3 linked regions of the Tamandua tetradactyla genome follow. The protein of the gene in region 3 purifies or fractionates together with the protein of the main gene of each other region. This does not show direct contact. Links are inferred from orthologs where the notes say so. Each region holds a gene or a part of one and is shown on either strand. Other genes may lie near its edges. The genes, in order: MED19, MED9 and POLR2C.

The links.
Region 1: the proteins of POLR2C (region 3) and MED19 purify together in Homo sapiens (affinity purification with mass spectrometry; 4 studies listed by BioGRID and IntAct, with this or other methods). This does not show direct contact. The link is inferred for Tamandua tetradactyla from reciprocal best matches to the Homo sapiens genes POLR2C and MED19.
Region 2: the proteins of POLR2C (region 3) and MED9 purify together in Homo sapiens (affinity purification with mass spectrometry; 3 studies listed by BioGRID and IntAct, with this or other methods). This does not show direct contact. The link is inferred for Tamandua tetradactyla from reciprocal best matches to the Homo sapiens genes POLR2C and MED9.

The regions. Positions count from the first base shown.
Region 1 is NC_135335.1:19,876,181-19,879,928, forward strand, and holds the start of MED19 (mediator of RNA polymerase II transcription subunit 19), read left to right. Parts: upstream 1-1,030; 5' UTR 1,031-1,246; coding exon 1,247-1,463; exon of another isoform or gene 1,464-1,556; intron 1,557-3,748. Other genes in the region: TMX2 (thioredoxin-related transmembrane protein 2), read right to left, coding at 668-856. UniProt on the Homo sapiens protein: Component of the Mediator complex, a coactivator involved in the regulated transcription of nearly all RNA polymerase II-dependent genes.
Region 2 is NC_135332.1:1,176,570-1,180,317, forward strand, and holds the start of MED9 (mediator of RNA polymerase II transcription subunit 9), read left to right. Parts: upstream 1-995; 5' UTR 996-1,040; coding exon 1,041-1,267; intron 1,268-3,748.
Region 3 is NC_135342.1:51,145,561-51,149,308, reverse strand, and holds the start of POLR2C (DNA-directed RNA polymerase II subunit RPB3), read right to left. Parts: upstream 2,736-3,748; 5' UTR 2,659-2,735; coding exon 2,573-2,658; intron 2,401-2,572; coding exon 2,351-2,400; intron 789-2,350; coding exon 720-788; intron 588-719; coding exon 535-587; intron 1-534. UniProt on the Homo sapiens protein: Core component of RNA polymerase II (Pol II), a DNA-dependent RNA polymerase which synthesizes mRNA precursors and many functional non-coding RNAs using the four ribonucleoside triphosphates as substrates.

The sequences.
Region 1 (3,748 bases), on a different chromosome or scaffold from region 3:
TTTATTTTTATTTTTTTTAACAATTCCTTTACAATAGGTCTAACAATTTTATTCATCCTTGCAGTTCAGGATCCAGTATGCCTGGCATATATAGGTTGCATCCTGGAAATGTTTACTGAATTAAGCGGTGACCTAATGTGTAGGTACTATGGCGAAAGAGTGGTTTTAACTTCCAGGCACTCACTAGCTGTAAGACTTGGGACTAGCTGCCTAACCACGATGAGGTCAATTCCCTCGTCAGTAAAACGGAAATACTACTACTTGCCTTACCGACCTCGGTAGCTCCTTAAGTTGTTTTTAAAAAGTGGGCAGCAAAGAGCTCTGAGAAGGGGAAAGCGTTGCACACGAGGAGAAAGGAAGACCACTGATAAGCGTGAACGATGAGATGGAAAGACACGGTGAGATGGAAAAACCCTGGGGCTGTTATGCAGTACGTGGGACCGACCGGCTGCGCGACCCCGAGAAGACCACGCCTCTCTGTTTTCCCACCTTGGAAGACGTAGAGATCGCGACGCAATGGCAGTCAAGGCCCTACGCTCTAAGTCCTTCAGTCCGCTACAGGCTCGGGACCTCGGGTATCCTCAGAAAGATGAACCCCGGGGCTCCCAGACGCGCTCGCTGGGGTAGGGAAAGTCAAGGTCGCGGGTGCCAGGCGGGGGTCGCTCACCCAGTCAAAGTCACAAGGGTTACCATCTTCGCGTTGCGTAGGGAGGCCGCTGCATACTGGCGGGAGCTTCCTCACGAGTAGGAAGGCGGCAGAAAGCAGGGCTGACAGAAGGTAGTAGGGTCGGGCCAGCCATCGTGAAAGTCGCGGCACCGAATACACCAGAGCAATTAAAGGTGCGAGGACCGCCATCTTCCCGGCCCTTGCGGCGCCCGCCGCTCACCGGCCGTGGTAGGTTTGGTCCCGGCTCCCCTCTCCTTGGTACTTCCATTGGGCCGAGTTCCGGATGCGCCGCCCCTTGACCCGGAAGTAGGTCCAGATTGGCTTCTATGGCGCATAAAAGGCGATGTGAGCCACTATTGGCCAATCTGGCAATCCCTCTTCCTACCTAAGTCGTTTTACTGGATCTGAAACTGTAACCAGTGGAGCTATCAGAAAATTTAATAAGGTTAGCTAGCACTTCCCGAACGTTCCGTGAAAGCGACGGAAGTGGTCGCCGGAAGAAGGCAGGCGGGCACAGAGGCATCCAGTGCTAAGCGGCTCCGAGAGTCGGAGGGCGTTTCCCGAGGCGCCGCTGGGGCCATGGAGAATTTCACGGCGCTGTTCGGAGCTCAGGCTGATCCACCACCACCCCCATCCGCGCTCGGATACGGACCCGGAAAGCCTCCACCCCCGCCTCCGCCCCCTCCGGGAGGGGGACCCGGTACCGTTCCGCCCCCTACGGCGGCTACGGCCCCTCCCGGCGCCGACAAGTCAGGGGCTGGTTGTGGCCCCTTTTACCTGATGCGGGAACTGCCAGGTGGGTGCTAGGCATGGCCGAAACCAGCCAATCAGATCATAGAGAGCGTAGTGGGCGTGCCTGTCAGCTGGCTGGTGCCAGGTAACCGAGGAATCGCGTACCCTGACAGTGGAGCTCAAAGCCGAAAGATCTCTGAGGATCAGCCCCCAAAGCGATGGCATGGATTCATGGGATGGGGAAAGGGGGTTGTATCTTCCACGCCACATCCGGCCTGTGTCCCTGACACTAGTTTATGTTTCCCTAAAAATGGCCCAGGGTTTGAGTTTGTATCTGGAGAGGCCTGATTTAACATCCCAGGAAACCTAAGTTTTCAGTTTCAAGTCGGCTACAATCTTGTTGGTTTGGGGTAAGTTGATTTCCTTCCTAGGGCCTCGGCATTTCTTCAGCTGTGCGAAGAAGGGTTTGGAATTGAACCAGATTCTTTTAATGCAAAATTTTATTTTGTTGAGCACCCTACTGTGTACCAAGCACTTTTCTAAATGCTGAGGCTACAGCTGTGAACAAGACTGACAAAATCCTTACGTTTTTGAAGTTTACATTTCAGTGGGTAGACACATAAGTGAAATAATATAGTTAGTGATTAATGCCAGGAGGAGAAAATATGATAAAGAATGGAACAGGAGGAACTACTTTAGCTAGCGTGATCAGAGAAGTGCTCTCTGAGTAGATAAGATTGGAACGAAAATCAGCATGGAGAAAGGATAAGCCCTGCATGTGTGGAGAGAGGGGATAATTTTAAAAACATGGTATGAAAGCTAAATCTCTGATGTGAGAAAGATTTGGACTAGCAGAAGACAAATTGGGCCCAGTTAAGTGAACAAGGAGAATAGTGGTAGGAAGTGAAAGTGGGAGAGGTAGGCAGAGGCCTTTACACCATAATGTAAGATTTTAAGTTCTAGGGGATGCCGTTGTGGATTTTAACACAAGGGAATGTCATGATCTAATGTATTTCTTTTTAAATCACTTAAGCAGTCATGTGAAGAATGGAAAGTGGGGAAGAGTTGATGGTTTAGACTAGAGCTAGGGCAGTAGAGGATAGAAGTGAATAGCAGCAGAATAAATTTTAAAGGTAGCGCTAACAAAAGATGGATTTAAGTAAGAAATTGATAATGACTTCTAAGTTTTTAGCTTGAATAACTGGATATATGGTAGTGCTGAGACTGGTTGGAGGGTTTTGAAATAAAGTCTTTTTGGACATAAGTGTCTGAGAAGCTTTTTTGTTCAGCCCAGGTCCTACTACCACATTATAGTTGAGGGAGATGATAATAACAATTATCAGTGCAGTACTTTATGCTATAACATTTAATATAGAACAGTCCCTTGACTGTTATCAGCATTTTATAGTTGAAAAACTAAAGCTTAGAGAGGTGAGCCTCCAGCAGTTTCTTTCATCTTTCCTTTGTCTTACTCATTTTGACTGTACCTATATATACATCAATGAGTGGACAGATACGAAACTTCTATTCTGGGAAACTACTGGGTATGTGGTAATGACAGCATGTGGTGGGAAAGGGAGAAAAAGTAGTATGTCTGGTCCTTGTTTTTAAGGAGATTTTTTTAGTTGTAGATGTGAAATATGTGGTTTAGGGATAAAGTAAGGGAGTGTATTTCTAGTCAAAGCCAATCTCATTACTTTGTGGTCAAATTTCACATATATAGCAACTAAAAATAATACCATTGCAAACGATATTGAGAACTACATGAAGGTTTTCAAAATGTGTTCCTTATCATCCACAGTGAGAGCAACAGTAAAATGTGACTTGAGATGGACCATGAAGAATTCATATTGGTGAAGAAAATTGGGAAGAAATTTCCTAAAAGGAAACACTATGAGGGGTGGGTTTTTCTTTTCAGGAGATGATAGAGACTTATCTTGTTGACTGAAAAATCTTGCATAGGCGAGTAGTGATAAGGCCTCAAAGATAAATTGGGATAAGATGCACTTAGTCGTCAGTGCCAAAGAAATTTAACCTTTTCCCTGAAGGTAATAGGAAACCACTGAGATTTTTGAACTGAGGAATACAGCTTTTTAAAAATGTCTAGAAACCTTGAGATTTTGTTGGTTTGTCCAGAGTGATGCCCCGATAAATCCCAAAGTGATTTGAACAGTGAATAAAAAAGTATTTGCAAAGTCCCCTTGGGGGAATGGTGAGAAAGGGGGAAAATTCAACTTCCCCAAGTTGAATTCTTGATATCTCACAAGCAGTGGGGACAACCAAAGCAATAGGCTGAGCCCCCGATCTTGGGGTTTGTTCATATGAAAATTAACCCCACGAAGGATAGGT
Region 2 (3,748 bases), on a different chromosome or scaffold from region 3:
TTTCACAACTTTAGAACATGTAAACTTACAACTTAATAAATTTCCCTTTTTAAAAGCCATTCCATTTCTGTTATATCACATTTCTAGCAGCTTGCGTTGCCCCAGACAATTCCTAAAATAAAACTCTCACTATTTACATATTCTGTTGCTCTGGCAAACCCCAATACACCCACCAAAACCCCACCTCTCTGGCCTGGGATGCTAGGAGGTCCTTGTGCAAATGAGACCTTTGGGGTCAGCCACATGACTGCATTCCAGGGCGATGCGGTTGAGGCTCGCCGCGACCCTGAACCAGGTAAGGCTGTAGGTGTGATGAAGCTGGTCCGCCGCGAGTACCTGAGGCCATTTTCCCTCCGGCGGCGATACTGACCCATCCCTCTGTCTTCTGTGGGCGTTGGGACTGTCCCCCTCCTTTAGAAGTCCGCCCAGCCCCTGCGGCCAGCAGGTGCTCTCGCCACCTCGTCGGCCGGCCTCCGCAGTCCTAGGAGTTCTGCAGGCCCACAGCTGGCCGTCTCTGGACCCTTCGGGCTGGCCCAGGGTGCGGCCGCGGGAGAGCGGCGCCAGCCCGGGTGGCGTCTTCTCCTGGGCGCGGTGGGGTACGGCCAGTCCCCCGCCCCGCCATTCCCGTGGGCCCCCCCGGAGGCCCCCCAGGAGGCCCTGCAGGGGCTGGGCCGCGCCAGGCCTAGTCATCTCACGGCTTCCGGCTTTGGTTGCCTTTCTATCCTCGTCGTCAGCAGAACAGAAATAAAGACTGTGTTATTTTTGGAAATAAATCTCCTAATTCTGAGTAGTTAATAATTGAGTTATCCTGACCCACAGCTCATGCAGGCCACCCCAGGCCCGCCAACACGCCGTCGCCTAGCAACAGCATTCCCCACCCGCTCCCTGCGCTTCGGCTCCGCCCAGGCGGCAGTGCGCACGCGCAGAGCCGCCTCCGCGCCCCGACGCCGCGCAGTAGTGACGTGTGCGACCCGCGACGCTTCCGGTGGGTGGGCTCTTCCGGGGCGGCCTGCTGACCGACTGACCGTGCCTCCCGTGCCATGTCCTCCTCCGGGGTGGCCGGCGGGCGTCAGGCCGAGGATATCTTACCGCCGCCCGCCGAGCCGTCGCTGCCCGAGACCAAGCCGCTGCCGCCGCCCCAGCCGCCGCCGCCGGCCGCCGCGTCCCAGCCGCAGCCGTCGCCGGCACCGAGGCCGCAGTCCCCCGCGGGCGTGAAGGAGGAGGAGAACTACTCCTTTTTACCTCTGGTGCACAACATCATCAAATGGTAAGGGCCTCCAGGAGGACTCGCCCGCGACGTTCCCGCCTGCCTCTTACACCCGTTTCAGAGCTGAAGAGGCCTGGGCTCTCTTAGGCCCGTCCCGTTTTACAGATGGGGAAACTGAGACCCAGAGGGAGAAGAGAACTTCCCGAGACCACACAGGGACCTTCCAGGCATTCAGCAAACGCTCTGAGCCCTCAGAGTGGCCAGGCCCCTGATGGCTGGTTGATGTGAACAAAAACGAAGCCAGTTTAGAGACTGAGTGCACTGGCTTTGGTATGAAAGGGCTCGCATGAAGTCAGTTAAGCCTCTGTGACCTCAGTTTCTCACTTCTAATATCCGGATAATAGAACCCTTCTTCCTTTTTTCATTTAGCCAAAAGTTATGGCTCTTCTTCCCTGTGTGGCGCTACTTGCTAGGGGATGTTCGGATTTAAAAACGCTGTATTAGTTTAAGCTGCCAGAATGCAATATACCAGAAACAAGGGGCTTTTAAAAGGGGATTCAATAGTTACAAGTTTACAGTTCTAAGGCGGTGAAAATGTCTAAATTAAGGCACCCGTAAAAGGTTACCTTCAAGAAAGGCTCCCGCCCTCTGAAACACCTCTGTCAGCTGCAAAGGCACGTGGCTGGCGGCTGCTGGTCCTTGTTCCCAATTCTGTTGCTTCCAGCTTCTGATGCCAGTGGTTTCCTTTCTAAGCATCTGTGTGCCTTCACTTCGCATCTTTGGAACACAGTTCTGGGTTCTAGTTTACTTAGCATCTCATGGGTACGGGCATGTGCTCTCTCTGTGTTGGAAGCATCTTTAAACATCCATGTCTCTGTCAGCTCCGAAGCAGTTGTTCTCCAAGCTTCTGTATCTGTGTCAGCTCTGAGCTCCCTCCAAAATATTTCTCCCTTTAAAGACTCCAGTGAACTAATCAGGACCCACCTGAGATGGGTGGAGTCATATTCCATCTAATCGAAAGGTCACACCAGCAACTGGAAGTGCCACATCTCTGGTGATAATCTAATCAAAGGGTTTCTGCCTTACAATATTAAATCAGGATTAAAGGAAACAGCTGTCCCCACAAGATTGGATCAGAATTAGAACATGGCTTTTCTAAGGTACATAATAGTTTCAAAGCGGCACAAGAGCCAAGTTTTCACCCCCATATTTCTTACCAGCTAGTAGAAAAACCCTGACATGAATATGAATAGCCCATAATTCAGACAAGAGAGGAGAGGGGCGGATGAGGGGGAATCTTAAAGTTGCCCCACTGGATTAGATCCCCTGATTTGACCTTCATTCTAGCATGGTTATCAGAGGGGGTGGTTTGTCATCCTTTTGACCAGCCTTCAGGTAAGCCTGAATTTTCAAACTGACCCCTAAAAAGGAAAAAAAGTTTCTCTAAACCCCATATGTACTTAAATTATTTTTCTTGTTATATTACTTGAATATATAGTCACATAATACTAGGTGTGCTTATGCTTAGAACCCTTATTCAAAATGAAGTACATTAAAATTACCACTTCAGGAAAGTTCAAACGAGCATTAATGTGCTCTGTGAGGTTTTGCTGAAATGAAATTGCTACTCACAACACGAACATACTATTGACAGCCTAAATTCTTTTGAGGTTAGCCACCCTCAGTTCACTTGTCATGGGTGACATGACGTTTCCACTGCTGTTTTATTCAGACAGCTCCAAGACCCTTGCTAGGCCCTGATGCCCGTGGGCTTTGCCTGGTGTGAGCGCACCATGTGTAACTTAGGGCAGACTCGTTAGTGTGACGGTCAGGTAGGGCAGACTCTCAGGTAGTATTTCCTGGCAGCAAACAGAAAAGCAGATGCAGACCCTGCAGTCCTGGCAGAAATGAATTATAAAGGCCTTAGCCAGGTTAACACGAATATGCATACCAATTTTAAGAAAGCTCCAAAATGAGAACAGAAGGCCCAGATGCTTAGAGATACCTCTTGGACCCACAGGAGGTGCGTTCCTGAGCCCTAGAGGAGCAATGGGCTTGGGCAGTTGAGTATACTAGAGAGAACACAGGCTTCGGAGGCAGAAGGCCTGCATTCAGATCTGTGCGCTGATGCCTTCTTACTTTATAATCTTGCTAAATACTTAACTTTTCTAAGTCTTAATTTTCTTAACTCTAAAATGTGAAAAACATGAGTTCACATTACAGCTCTGAAACTTACTGACTGGGTGACCTTGGGCAAGTAACTTAAATTCTCTGTGATTCTTTTTCTCTTATGAAAGGGATAGTTTTTAGAAGCATAAAGCGAAAGAACAGGATAAAATATGGTTACCACAAAGTGGACACCCAGCCCTTAGCAGTCTGAATCCCAAGCCGAAAGCAGTCTGCCCTACAGAGAGCCAGGGCCTCCCCCAAAATCTCAGGAGTTGGCAATGCCAGGAACTGGAGTAGGGGTGAAGGTGAGAGACCACCAAGGATCACCTAAAAGTAAGCCAGATCTCAGTCTTCTGCCCCGGCTCCAGGCCA
Region 3 (3,748 bases):
AACCCAATCCCACTCTATCCCCAGTCTGACAAAGACCTTTTACTGCATCCTCTGGGAGAGCAAACGTACAGGTAGAGAGCAAACCTGCAGCACCTGCGGGGGAGGGGCATGAACCTGGCAGACACGAATAGCCAGTCCCTCAGGTGCAGTTCTTGTGGGACAGCTCCCAATCCTTCTGCTCCTCTCCTTCACCATCCCAACTTCCCATTGACTTCCTTTAGCCTCCTAAGCCTCCGTCACTGGGAAGAGAGGCCCTGGAATACAGAGTCTGAATAGCTCAGACTCTGAGAAGATACAGCCCTCACTCTTCAGTATAAATGAGCATTCTGGGGTATATACTATCCTCTTGTGTGGCTACCTAATGGGACTTCCTGATGCCCCCTGAGCCTACTGAATCTGAAGCCCTGTCAGAATTGAGGACCAAGCCCTGTCTCAGGTTCTTGACATATCCAGACTGTTGGGCAAAACCACTCTGAGAACTGTAGGTAGGCATCTCCCACTCTGCCTCCCCTTTTATTCAACCACAAAGCATACCCGGGAGTTCTGTAGCTTTTCCACAATGTCGTCACTTGTGAGGGGAATCAATCCTGGAAAACACAAAAAAAACACTTTAAAGGCTAAGCAGCCAACCCAAAAGGGAACCTAGAAGATGCCACGATGGATGCAAGTAAGGTTTCTACCAGGCACTGCACCCTCCAACACCCAAACCCAACACTCACCAAGCCTGTGAGCAATGAACTCATCATGAAGGACTGAGGAATTGGCATCAATCTGTACCCAGTCAATGGCTAAAAGTGAAGGAAACAGAGATGCAGTTTAGCCACCAAATTCAGCTACAGAATTAAGAGTAGTGGTTTGTGAGATTTAGAAATCACCTGCTATTTATTATATCATAGGTGCCTTGGCCAGGCTGCCAGAGACTGATCCTACAGCTCTAGAGTGGCCCAGGAATCTTCATTTTAACAAGACACACGGTGAATGTAATGCAAAGGGGTCTTTGTTATCACAAAAACAAAACATTGTCTTAGAGACTGGGAGTGGGAACATATTTCTTTGTGCTGAATACTTTCATGAGAAGCACTAATTTGCTACCCATGGGAACATGAATTCCAAAAACACAAATTATTTGGACATTTAAAAATTGGGTAAAACCTCACAGAAGTAACACAGACTTATGGCCCTTATCTCAGTTTATGAACTAGTGACCAGTTCACCCAATTTTGCACTTTATTAAATCAATTCATGTTAACTGAATTCCTCAACAGACAAGGCATACTAAGTATAGAACCCCATACCTTCTAATGAGCTAGTGGGAGGAAAAGGGCTCTATTCTCACATATACTTGTTTAAACACACGTTCATTCATTCAAATGAAGGGCCTAAACATGAGGAATGGGGTCAGAAGAAGGCCAGCCCTAGCCAGCCCTGACTTCCTTTGTCCTGCTATGCTTTCTACTGCTTCCCCAACCCAAGCCATTTGCTTCAGCCGAAAAAGGACCATAACCCAAGCTGTTCTGTTTCTGCCTCATTACTCCCCCTGATATACCCTTACCCTCCCCTCTGCCTGCTGAAATCCTGATTCTCCAAAACCCTAGCCTTGCCTGCCTTCCATGAGACATAAGCAATCACTCTCTCCCTTTGAACTCACTCAAAAAACTGTCCAAACCTCTCAAGGCATTTATCATATTTTGCCTTGTATTTTATTTGTGTGCACCTTGACTCTACTTCTAGCTTTGAAAATTCTTTGCAGTAGAGTCTTGAGATACCTTAACCTTTGTATTCTTGGCTGTGGCTTGGACTGTAGGAAGTACCCAATATTTGCAGAATTGAATTTGTGGAACAAGTGGCATTTAGACTCAGAATTCAGGCTGTATCATTAAGTCCAACTAGCACTCCATGCTCTGAGTTGAAGAAGTGATTGGTGCCGAGGTGGGAGATAAGCCACAAAATAACATTGTGGCTTATCACTTGGCCTGTTCATTTCACAATAGACTGCACACTGATGCAGTACCTATAACATTCTTCTTTTGCTTAAGCAAAACTCTGGGAGCAGACACTCAGAAAATTCTGTAGTATACTTGTCAATATATCAAGTACCTGGAAAACCAGAGCAGAAATCGAGTCTGTCCCCTCTAAATGCCAGTGTATATGGAACGGTGGACCTAAGTGACCCGTGAGAGTCAGGGAAGTGACCAACAGTGGCCAGGCCAAGGACATGGGGTTAGGTAAGTCTCCAGCATTGCTGTTTTCTCAGTGCTCCCAGCTATACCCCACCCTTACCCCCAGCCTCACCCAAGGGTTTGCAGCAGAAGCCCCATGGGTGGAGAGGCAATGTGGCCAAGTCGCTTACCTATTATAGGCACCTCGGCGATGAAGACCCTCCGAATAGAATTAGCCACCCTGAGGAGGGAAAATGAAGCAGGGTGAAGGCGCCGCCACGGCCGGCCCCACTTCCCAAGCGAAGACCCTGGCACAGGAGGTGCCAGTTCTGGAAGGATACGAGGTCCCCAGCCTCCCCTCCCTGGGACACTCTAGCACTAGAGCCTTCAGTCTCTTCCCTCCGCAGTCTTACGCCAAGTCCGTATTCTCAATGATGAACTTGACATTCTCGTCCGTGAGCTCGGTGATTCGCACCGTGGGCTGGTTGGCGTACGGCATTGCGCCTCGCAGCCGGCCCAGCCTCTGCCGTCAGCTCCGCGGCGTCTCAGCGGCCGCCCATACCGGAAGTCGCCTGCAGGCCCCGGCTACTTCCGCTAAGACGCGCTCACAGCGTCTCCTGCTGTTCGGAGACCAAAACTGCTCCGGGCCTGACTATCGAAGGAAGTTTTTGTAAATCCAACTGCTTCAAAACGCACCAGGTTCATTTCGCAGGGAAATTTGACATTGCCCCCAGTCCTGAATGTATATAGCTTTAAAAAAATTAATTTATTTATGATACATAACCGCATACAAACACAAACATTCTTATCATATGATCATTCCGTTCTTGTTATATAATCAATAACTCACACTATCACCACATAGTTGTACATTCATAATCATGATCATTTCTTGATTCCGCATCAATTCCGAAAAAACAATAAAAAGAAAACAGAAAAAAATTCATACATACCATACCCCTTACCCCTTCCCTTCACCGATCACCAGCATTTCAATCTACTAAATTTAACATTTGTTCCCCCTTATTTATTTTTAATCCATATGTTTTACTCATCTGTCCATACCGTAGATAAAAGGAGCATCAGACACAGGCTTTCACAACCACACAGTCACACTGCGACAGCCATATCATCATACAATTATCTTCAAGAAACACGGCCCGCCACTGGAGCACAGCTCCACATTTTCAGGCAGTTCCCTCCAGCCTCTCCATTACACGTTAACTAAACAGGTGATATCTATTTAATGTGTAAGAATAAACTCCAGGATAGCCCCTCAACTCTGTTTGGAATCTCTCAGTGTGGTAGTTAGATTCACTTGTCAGCTTGGCCAGGTGAACATGCCTAGATCTATTGCTGTGGACATGAGCCAATGGCATGTGAACCTCATCTGTTGCTGATTACATCTGCAGTCGGCTAGGCGGTGTGCCTGCTGCAATGAATGATGTTTGATTTAATTGGCTGGTGCTTAAATGAGAGCGCTCAAGGTAGCACAGCCCAAGTAGCTCATATACTTCATCTCAGCACTCACAGCTCAGCCCAGGCCTTTGGAGATGCAGAAAGAAATCACCCTGGAGAAGGTTGTTGGA